3 linked regions of the Drosophila melanogaster genome follow. The protein of the gene in region 2 interacts with the protein of the main gene of each other region in a pairwise test. Each region holds a gene or a part of one and is shown on either strand. Other genes may lie near its edges. The genes, in order: CG1648, sll and bves.

Evidence for each region.
Region 1: the proteins of sll (region 2) and CG1648 interact in a two-hybrid assay, tested with the Drosophila melanogaster proteins (one large-scale study listed by BioGRID).
Region 3: the proteins of sll (region 2) and bves interact in a two-hybrid assay, tested with the Drosophila melanogaster proteins (one large-scale study listed by BioGRID).

Annotation. Positions count from the first base shown.
Region 1 is NT_033778.4:9,810,735-9,814,489, reverse strand, and holds CG1648 (uncharacterized protein), read left to right. Parts: upstream 1-1,715; 5' UTR 1,716-1,741; coding exon 1,742-1,766; intron 1,767-1,825; coding exon 1,826-2,008; intron 2,009-2,521; coding exon 2,522-3,012; 3' UTR 3,013-3,171; downstream 3,172-3,755.
Region 2 is NT_033777.3:17,604,080-17,607,834, forward strand, and holds the start of sll (slalom), read left to right. Parts: upstream 1-2,026; 5' UTR 2,027-2,250; intron 2,251-2,298; exon of another isoform or gene 2,299-2,305; 5' UTR 2,306-2,439; coding exon 2,440-2,486; intron 2,487-2,547; coding exon 2,548-3,601; intron 3,602-3,755. UniProt on the Drosophila melanogaster protein: Mediates the transport of adenosine 3'-phospho 5'-phosphosulfate (PAPS), from cytosol into Golgi. PAPS is a universal sulfuryl donor for sulfation events that take place in the Golgi.
Region 3 is NC_004354.4:21,052,385-21,056,139, forward strand, and holds the start of bves (bves), read left to right. Parts: upstream 1-1,578; 5' UTR 1,579-1,938; intron 1,939-2,161; exon of another isoform or gene 2,162-2,358; intron 2,359-3,755. Other genes in the region: Stt3A (catalytic subunit 3A of the oligosaccharyltransferase complex), read right to left, coding at 26-415, 514-842, 1,227-1,326.

The sequences.
Region 1 (3,755 bases), on a different chromosome or scaffold from region 2:
AACGGCGGCCCCAGTAGCTCCATCGATTCATCACGGATTGTAGCTCTTTTTTTTAAGGCATCCAGAACTGGTGTGGAACGTGAGTCGGCAGACCTCAAATCGCAGTAACTCATAGATATTCGTTCCATGCCCGTATGTGTGTCCGTTCCGAGCTGGGTTCCCATGTAGCCCAAGCTACAGCTACAGCTACAGGTTTTCCTCTATCCGAGGCTTCTGCGCATTATTTCAGCTGCGAGTGCGACATCGACGAAAACAAAATCAGAGAGCAAAATCAAAATCCAAAACTAAAACCAAACCAAAACCAAAACAAAAACGACGCCAGAGGCTGTGAGAGAATCTGGGCTTATTGTGTTACCTTTTGGCCATGCTTCTAGCCGGTTTTCAGTGTTGACCACAAGTTGCCACAGTTTTGAATAAAGACTGAAGAACAAAATGCGTCGTATTACGCAAATGCCTTAAATAGGGCCGCTGGCCTTAGGAATTCCGCGTGTGTAAGCCATTAAGATATATATGTACATATATCCAAAGGATTTGGCGGGGAATATTAAACACTGCGGTTGCCTTATACGTAAGGCCACCTTTTTTAAGTTTAATAACTTATCATTCTACGAATGTATTTTAAGTATCTTTAAATACGATTTTAATTTGGAAAACAGCACAATATACTTAGCATGCATCTCTATACATATAGTTACATATTGTACAGTGTAGATTGCACGATTCCTTCCACTTAAATTGCTATTCTAGATTCTAGATTGTTAAGCAAGTCCAATGCCACATACATACATTCCTTAGCCATTAGCCATTAGCATTTGAAATGTCTGAATTCCCTTTGATTCACCCTGTTTTTTTTGAGCAGTAAAAGTAATTTTCAACACCTCGGCCGAGCCCACACATTCCATAATCTCGATACCCAGCAAGCGTAGAATAGAAACTATTATTTTCGCACAATTTTCGGCTCCTGCGGTGGCGATTGGCTCATTAAATGCGAAATGCGAAATGCGAAATTGGCCGAAACTAAATTATTTGGAAATGAGCCGAGTGTATGGGGCCATTAAAGTATCTCTGCGGAGAGAACCGAATCAGAATAAACACATTCCCGATCACAATCAGAAAGCGTGAATAGACCGCACTAGAAACTTGGGGGCGATTTCATTCGCCGGCTGCCCATTATGACATCACATACGCCGAATAATTTGAATACTCGAGCTTTGTTTGCCTCATTCGCATACAAGCATACTGTATATTACAAAGAAATTCCTCGGCTATTTCCGCCCGTTTCCGTTTCGCCCAACCGATTCGCACCCGGTTCCGAGTTGAGCGGCACAATGTTTCTATTTGAGTGGACGCACACGTCACTCCCAGTGAATGCAGATTCGAGGGGACAGCAAAAGCTGGCGCTCGTTAATTTCTATTAAATTGCGAATATAAGTCTCAAGTCTCGAATTTTAAGGCTGACGCCATGGGGCTGGCGATCACGATTTCAACAGCCCCTAGTTGCGCAGTTTCTATTAATAGGAAAGTGTCCCAGTCTAATCGATCCGATTTAGTCATGTAAATAGTTCATGCTCCAGCTGCTTTGTTTATGTTTCGGCAATTACCTGTCTGGAATTTGGAATCTGAAATCTCAAATCTCGCATCTTCGATCTGATCGGCGCTCCACCCTGCTGATTGCAATCAGGCTATAAATTATAATTAGCGCCAGGCCAGAGCTTAGTTAGCATTCAGAGGGCCAGTCAGCATGTTTCCTAGTCGCCAAAACCAAAGTAATCCCATCCAGCCAGCACAGTCAGGATCTAAAATGCACTCCTCATTCAATCCCCAGCTTCCTTGAAGAACTTCGGTGACAAGACCGCCAACCTCTTCAGCAAGAAGAAGGATGAGGCCGAGAAGCTGGCCAACGAGAAGGCTGCCGAGGCCCAGAAGCTAGCCGAGGAGCAGGCCAAGAAGGTGGGCCAGTCCGTACAGCAGACCAAGGGCGAGGCCGAGCAGTTGGCCGCCAGCACGGGTGAGTAACGAACATCCAAAAAATAATGAATGTAACACATAAAAGATGTCTTAGAGAATTAATTGGAGTTATTAATTCTAAAGACTTCCAAAAACTCTTGCAACGAAGAATTGAATGAGTCCCGTTTGAGATAACTTTCAAAATCAACTTTCAGTTCTTGCTAAAAATGTTTTCTCATTAGCATTCCATTTCCAATTTATCTAAAACGCAAATCTTTTAAGCATATCAAACACAAGAGAACTTAATAAATGGAATTCTTTAGTGACGCGTTGACGTAAAACATGTTTCCAAGAATAAGATTCGCATTTTTGAAAACATTTCTTCATAAATATTGAAATATTTCTATAATTGTGAAAAGCAATTTAATGTGCTAGAGATTTATAACTAAACAGAACATCAATGCTATGTTTTATGCTGGAGCAAAGCCCGACCAATTCAATAAATATCTTTAGGAGCACTTTTAAAGATATTTTGTAAGAATTTTTCCCACTAATATCTCTCTTTATCATACAGCCAAGGAAGCCGCTGCTCTGGCCACCGCGGAGGCTCAGAAGGCTGGACAGGCGATTGACCAGGGTGTGAACCGTGCCGCCGGAGCCGTCAACCAAGGCAAGCAGGCGGTGGACAACACGGTGGCCCAGGCGGCGGCCGTGGCCCAGAACTCCAAGCAGGTGGCGGCCAATGTGGCGGAGGCCTCCCAGCGAGCGGCCGCCAATGCGGTGGACCAGACCAAGAAGGCGGCCAACGACGCCATCAACAAGAGCGTGAAGGCCGCCGAGAACGTGGCGGACCAGAAGCTGAAGCAGGCGGAGGGCGCCATCGATGGGGCACTGAAGCAGACCAGTCAAACGGTGGACCAGAAGCTGCAGGAGGCCAACCAGTATGTCGACCAGAAGCGCCAGTCCGTCGAGAAGACCGTCCAGGATGCGGCCGGACAGGCCCAGGAGTCTGCCGGACAGCAGGCCAACGCCCTGTTGGGCAAGCTGCATCTGGGTCAGAAGTAGAGGCGTCTCCCTTCGCGGTGCCACCTAAAATATCTTGATGTGAAAATGCTTTAGATACAAAAACAAAAAAAATAGAAAGGAATTTGCTTCAATGTAACGAGTGCCAGTAATGTGATTGCTAAATCCTCAATTGAATATACACAATATATATATATATATATATTTACATATTTTTTGAATATCGCGCGGACGGATTATTTTGCAGCCGCTGCTTTCGATGTGAGCATTTCAGCACATCCTCTGTCCGTATCCGTACAAAGTGTAATTAACCCCTTCGTTCTTCTTCTTCGGCCGAATTTTGTTACTTTGAGGCATTTGATATTTTATATACAGCTGCGCTGAGTATGCTTTTAATATACGTATATTCTGTTTATGTAGAGATGTATGATTAAGTACCTTTAACTCTTGCACAACACATTGCAAATGTGTTTTTAATATATTGGATTCGAATGAGATTTGTGGTCTTTCAATTGGTGGGGGTGCCACTAAGCAAAGCGTATTATATGTATATATTTGGATATACTGATGTTATGTTGATTATATTATTACTGAAACTTTTATTAACTCATTTTCAATTTAGCGCCAAATGGTGATGTATGGTAATACTGTAATCTGGCCACACTGAATTTACTTCGGCTGCAAGCGCAAATAGCGCCACCTACATGTGGGATAGAACGCTGAATGGTTTGAAAACAGGGTATCCATGTTTTATCTCGCTTTTACCGTTTCATTCAAAAAAATTA
Region 2 (3,755 bases):
GATGCTGCCACTCTCACAAGGGCGAAATCAAAGACACAGGACCGCGATTTCGTGTGTGTGTACGTGTGTGCGTGTGTGTGTGGGACGCGACCTTGAGCAGAAGTAGCGCACTTAATGCAGCCGCAAGAGCAACCCCTAAATTGCCAGCAGCCGCAAACAGTGGTGTTCACGATAATAAAATCACAGCAACGAACTACATATACTTATTAATGTAATAATAATTATTTTCTTTAAAAATAATACGAATCTCAAACTTAACTAATAAGAATTCACTGAAAGAAGCCAAAAAATATGCTATGATGTCCTATGCTTCCTAAATATATTCCCGAAAGGGTAGAAATCTATAATTTGAAATGCGCTGTCCCCCCAAATTTTAAACCTGATACCTTTTCAACATCAGGATTCGTATTTAAATATGAAAATTAATAACTTGTGCTACATTTCTAGCCGCAACTGTGAGTTAAACCCACCGGGGTGGGTGCATCAATGTAAAGACGTAGTAATGCCGCTCCCGCTGGCCGTTCTGTTCGCCTGGTGCACTAAGGTTGCTCCTAGTTACGACGTAACTGTTAACCGGTTTGGCCCGTCGGCAGCGCTGCTCCTGCATGTTACCGTTATGTAATGGCCTCGACAATGGTAACGTGAAAGAACCCATCCCACTCGGTGGGTGGGCCAGCGGGGCAGGCCGTACGCTTTACTCCGCCCCGTAGATCACGCCCTAGTGGGGTGACATGCGCAATGGCATCGAGTGGCGTTGGGTTGCCCACTGCGATTCCTGGTCGCCTGGTAATCCTTGGGCGTTACCTTAAGAAGGGTTAAACCGCTGATGGACACGTGTCTGTCGAGTTGAATGTGCTGCCGCTGCTGCTGCTGCTGAGGTTCTTGGCCGCGTTCTTGGCAAAAATCACAAAGAGCCAGTCCGGCGGTGCCGTACTCGTTTTGGGCGCCACCCAGTGCCCGTACTCGCTAATTGAAACGCTCCGCGGGACTCGGAGGTTGCCGGTGCCTGTGACCCACCCACTTGGGCGGGCAGAATCGCGACCTGCCATCCACAGGGGCGTAGTCCGTGCCATCGTGTTCCTGTGCCAGTGGTTGTCAGTGCTGCATAAGTTCTGGCTGGAAAGTAGACAGATGAAGTAAATTTGATTACTTTTTAATATAGTGGTATGTACATTTTATAAACAGATAATTTTAAATTCCACAAGTTTTGTATTAAGATTTCTCAAAATAATTATTCATGTAAAATTGATTTGATTTTAAATAAACCTTCTCATTATTTGTTTTATTAGGTTTTTAAATAGCCAAATCATCAGCACTAGGGGTTGCACAGCCATCGAAACCCACCCCTAAAGCAAGGAATGGCAATGTCAAGCGACACACCCCTCGCGCACGCACAGACACACGCACACATGGACAGGCAACGAGTCCTTTCGATTTCATTACGTTCATTATGTGAGGGGTGTCCTCTGAATCACACATTCCACACTCCTCCTGAAATTGATGTGCGCCTGGTATTAGACCTCAAGCGGAATTTCCTTTCGTTTGATTGTAAGTTGTGGGAACGTGCAACAGCATGTGTGATGAAATTCAATTATTAAAATATTACTATCTTACCATCTATTATTACCATCTTATTATTGAATACAATAACTAAATATTTTTGTATAAGTTAAGTAACTTTTTACTTTTGTTAATTACCAGTTTTATTATTATTATTTATAACTAGATACAAAGAAAACAGCGATAATTAAGCTTATCTCGATAGTTATTACCAGCGATTACAAATTTTCCAATTGGTTTTAACAAACAGTCCATCCCTCTTATAATCTATTTTAACGATTTAAGGCATGTTTCAAGGCTTTTAATATGCAAAAATGCACAAAAACAACAAATAAAATTACTAATCCGTTTCATACAAAGAACAGCTGACAAAAAAAAACGACCGAAACCTAACGGTAAATAATTCAAAAGATTAGGGAATACCCCAAATGGTATTTACTTTTAGACCGTGTGGTATTTTCTATCGTTATCGGCGCGGTCATACTGGTAACGTATTGGTTACTATTATAAAATATTTGGCAATCTCGTTCTACTCGCTGGCGGCCAAATAGCTGCAGAATGTTTGAGCAGCTGGCCTGAGAGCTAGTGCCGGCTGCCCGAGCCTAGTACCCCGGACGTCCAGAACATCTTGAAGCTCCAAACGCACCGCACGCACATCTGGCAGCCGATTGTAAACAAACTCGGGATATGGTAATTAGATGATGCCGATTTGGAGTGTGCGAATCATGCAAAAACTAGTTTTCAGAGCCGCGCCGGTTGTTGAACTCTTGACACTTGACTGGTAATAGATTATCGCCCGCGGGTTCAATAGGAATCGGAGAATCGGTCGAGTCAGCAGCACCGGGCATTCAAACCGAGAGAGCCAACGAAACGCGCCACATGTACGCCTATAATAAGATGGGTCGGGTTCCAGAGCTTGTTATATGGTGAGAACCCAACGAAGTTGAAAATCAAATTAAACTAATCCCGCCCTTAAAATCTGAACAGCTCCTTCATAGTGGTCACCCTGCTTGTCATACACTTCTTCTCGGATCTGCTGAGAGCCTCCCTAGGCGGCTACTACAACCAGGATGTTACACTTTCCCAGCTGGTTGAGTCGCAGAACTCGGACTACGCATGGTTCCTTAAGCTGCTGGTCAATTGCTTTGGTTATAGCTGCGTCTTTGTGCCGGGCTTCTTGATCTACAAATATGTCGGCAGGATTAACTACCTGGAAAGAGGCAACAAGACATTCCTGCACAAGGCTATCAATATGTGTATCACGGGTAACTCTGGATACGATCAGTTGGATGCAGGGACCAGCACCGCGGATAAGGATCGTCCGGCAGCCTCTACGGCACCAAAGCGAACGAGTTCCCAGGAGGCCGTGCAACTATTATGGTGCTTTGGCGGCCTGATGATCTCCTATCTTACCTGGGGTGTACTGCAGGAGAAGATAATGACTCAAAACTATCTGAACTTCACTGGAGAAAGTGCCAAGTTTAAGGACTCTCAGTTCCTGGTGTTTTCCAATCGTCTGCTGGCCTTTCTCGTGGCGCTGGCCTATCTACAATGGCAGCCCTCACCTGTGCGACACCGTGCACCTCTGTACAAATACTCCTATGCCTCCTTCTCGAATATAATGAGCGCATGGTTCCAGTACGAGGCCCTGAAGTTTGTCAACTTTCCCACCCAGGTGCTGGCCAAATCGTGTAAGATTATACCCGTTATGCTGATGGGCAAAATCATGTCTAAGGCAAAGTACGAGAGTTACGAGTATGTGACGGCCCTGCTCATATCGCTGGGCATGATCTTCTTCATGAGCGGCTCCTCGGACAGCAGCAAGGCCAGCGGAGTGACCACGCTCACGGGCATTTTCCTGCTCTCCATGTACATGGTCTTCGACAGCTTCACTGCCAATTGGCAGGGATCGCTCTTCAAGAGCTACGGCATGACTCCGTTGCAGATGATGTGCGGCGTCAACCTGTTTTCCTCCATTTTCACTGGAGCCTCGCTGTCCATGCAGGGAGGATTCATGGACTCCTTGGCATTTGCTACAGAGGTAAATATATATAAAGATATCAAGCTCTCAATTTATGATGATATCCATTTTAATCAAAATAACGTAGCATGTTCTGAAATTGAAAGAATATTTGATTTGTTTGTGTTTTGTGGTTTGTGATTTGCATAACCCAAATTGCAAAATTATAACAAAA
Region 3 (3,755 bases), on a different chromosome or scaffold from region 2:
CATTACACAAAGTAGTTACACTCACCAGCATGTGTTCGGAGCTCTGGATGGGTTGGAATCCCACAAACGAGATCTGCATCGACAGAATGGTGCCGACGCAGTATAGCGTGCTGTATGCTATGTAGATCCTGTGCGAGAAACGTCCGGTGATCATCAGCGCCAGCACGTGCAGCGGGATTAGGTTAATCAGGAAGACATAGCCACCCCACGAGGAGACCATATAGAAGTAGGCCAATGCCGACATAGCCGACCAAAAGATCGTGCCCGTCTTTACCGCCTTGATCCACAAATAGTAGGTGAAGAGCATGCAGAAAATGGCGATGCCTTCATTGTCGTACGATCCCGCCACGGATCGAGAGATATACCCGGGAACGATGGATATCAAAGCGGCGGCCACCAGTCCAGCTCCAGTGCTCTAAAAAGGGGTAAAGGGGGATCATAAGAACCACGTGCGAATTTTAACCTCGAAAGGATATAAAAAAAAAAGTAAAGAACGGTGGGACGGTGGCTTACGTGTATCTCCTTTGTGAGGGCGTAGGTCACCAGCGTGGTCAGCGAGGAGAAGAAGGGCGCCAGGAAGACGCACACGTTCCGTATGTCGATGGTCACATTGAGCAGCCACATCAGGCGGTACAGGGCCGCCGAGGTGAGCATCAGCCCGGGATAGATGGTGCCGCCGATGATGCGGCCCAGGGGATACCAGGCGCGGTCATCGAACCAGTTGTGGAACTTGTAAAAGCCCTGCTCCGCCAGAAACCGCGTGGTGCGGTAGTTGAAGTACGGATCGAACTCATGGATTACGCTTTCGAATCGCAGCACAGAGAACAAGCGTGTGGCAAATGCTGTCCAGAAATGCAAGAGGAAAAGGAAGTTTAATCGGCGATGGCAAGAGGAAGACCAGCAGCTAGTGATGGCACATGCCAGCGTGTATCAAGCTATCGATATTCTAGCAGGGCTGGCAAGTTGATATTCTACAACATGGCAATCGGAAGATGTTTATAGCTATGCATTTGTTCAAATGCAAATCAAGGAATTTATAAGCTAGGAAATAAGGAATAATAGTGCTGCATTGCGTAACTAAGCCATTATATGCTCTGGGTAATTTCACCATAAAGTGCCGGCGGCACATCAAGCTATCGATAGCGAAGAAGCTCGCAGCAGATGCGAATGTTTGACCTTTTCACAACGCCCACTCGGCTAATGCCGAATAAGCGCTGTTTACTCACATAAAACCGCTGCCAGGATGAGAATGGCCAGCTTGACCAGGTGCTCCTGTTTGTCCCAGGTGAGCAGTCCCCTGGCGACGCCGCCCACGTCCAGCGTCATTTTCCTTGCTCTTCCGCCTGCCGGCTTTTTTTCGGCGCTGCTTAATTCGATGCAAGAGTCCCTAAGTCACCGGTGCGAGTTGTTGACTGAATTCCGGATGTCCAGGATTACTTGTTTTGCCCCACCGAAGCACTATTACTTAGCTTTTTGCACAAAACAATGGCTGAAACTTGAATGCGACGGGATCGCAAACTTGCAATTCGTGGCAAAGAGCGGAGAGTGCTATCGATTATCGCGTGCTATCGCCGGTCTATCGGTAATAGGGGTGACAACTCTGACCGCTGGCGGGTTTTATTGTTTCCCTTTTAACCACTTCTTTTGGCTGCTATTTGCGGTTTATTCGGCAGTTAATTCTCGATTTATGATTAGTTACTATTAGTGAGTCATCAAAAGCACGGCTGGTATTCGAATCGGCAATTCATAACCGGCTGTTCCTGGGCTTATATCCCAGCTGTTTTCGACTCTCCGTGGGAGCGAGCACGAGTAGTGAGCAGAGAGCGAAAAACACATTTCAACCACCACACAGTGGGGTACGATTATTATTTTTTAGAAAGTTACCAAAAGTTGTCTAAATACGTTTAGACCAAAGATGTCAACTACGCCAAAGCAACCGTAAGCACAAATAAAAAAGAAAAATGTAACAATTTTCAGATAAATCAAGGAAATGTAAACAATCTTAAAAAGTTGTCAGCTAGTATGCAATTGCGACCACTGTGCACCACGAAATTCGTTTTCATTGCGGGAGAGCGAGTGAGAGAGAGGGCGAGAGAGAGCGAGCTACAGCCGTTTAAATTGCCATATATTTCCCATATAAAAGCACCGCTGCTTCGTGTTTTCATTGCCTTTTAAAAAAATCTCGAACAAAATATGACAAGAAAACATCGGATGAATCGCCGGGCAGGAAAATCACGGTTTCCACTGAAAAACTACTGATAGTTATCACATATCCGAAATATATGTATTTTCAATCGAAACGAGAACCAAATCCCCGAAAAAACGCGAATCGGAGTAAATACAAGTTGACTTCTGCTGGTAAATAGAAGAAAAATTTGTACCTAAAACAATGAAAAACTCACGTGTCAAATATTTAAGAAATTGTTCTCACTAATACATGGGCAAGCCCATTCCTATTTGCGTGTATGAGATTTGCTAGTTCAAATCGTTGATTTTTTTTAGTGGCAGCTTTGTTATGTGCAATATATACATAGATATTTGCATATGTATTGTGTGTGTGTGTATTTACTTGCAGCGTTGTTGTTGCTGTTTTTTTTTTAATTGAAGCCGCGCCAAAAGTAATTAAATAATAACGATGGCGAGTGTTTGTTTGTGTGTAAAGTGCAGCAAGAATGGTGAAAAATCGAACATCAACACGCTTTTAAAAATGCATGTGTTATGTATGTGTATATATCGGGACGTCACTGTGTGCGTGCGGGTGGGGGCAGCGACGCCGGCAGAGGCAGCGATTGCAGTTGCCAGCACGCATTCAAGAAGAAGAAGAAGGAAATCGAATGTATGATGGGAGGGCGTGGAAGGGGGGTAGGGGAAAGGAAGAAAAGGAAAACAAAAGCAACAAACTCCAACTTCTGCATCTGCTTCTTCGTTCTCTCCTCCTTCGGCCCACCACTCACTCACACCCCACCCACTCTCTCAATGTGTGTATGTGGGTGTTTGCATTTGCATGGCATTTCTGGCATGCAACTTCTATGTGTGTGTGTTTGTGTGTGCGTATATTTATGGAAGTTGTGTGCCTATAGGCGAGAGAACGAGAGGGAGAGAGAGAAGATCGGGGAACTACTATTTATTATTATCCAAGCTCCCAAAAATCGAATATTTTGCAACAAAAGAAGTTAGACTCGTGTTCTATTAGGAAAAAATCAATGAAGTGACATTCTCATTTCCGATTTTGAGACCCAATTGGGATGAATTGCTTTCGTAACTTCCAACTTAACGATCTTTCCAAAGATCTAAACTACATGAAGAAGGGGAAAATGGGGATGAAATTCGTTTTTAAAATTTCTATTTAAAAATATATTGGGTCCAAAAATACTTTATCAGTGGGGAGAATAGCTCTGAAATGAGTTTCCAATTCCCGAATTCCACTTCAAAGATCTGAGGCGATAAATAAAGACATTGCTATGCAATTCAAAAGTCTCATAATTCAAATGAGAGCCCAAAAATAACGAACGAATTATTCAAAAAATAATTATGCATTTCAAAAATAACTGGTGCGTATTTTTGCTATGAACTGAGAATAATATTCTTTGGTAGAAAAATCTGAGAACTACATATATGTATAAATAACATATTGCTTTGCTTTGCAAATTCTTCTCTAAGTCTAAACAAACCGTAAAGTTAAAAACCTATCTAAATCCAAACAGTTGGATAACTGAAAGCCATTTGATATCGCACCTAAGGCAGCATTCCGATAA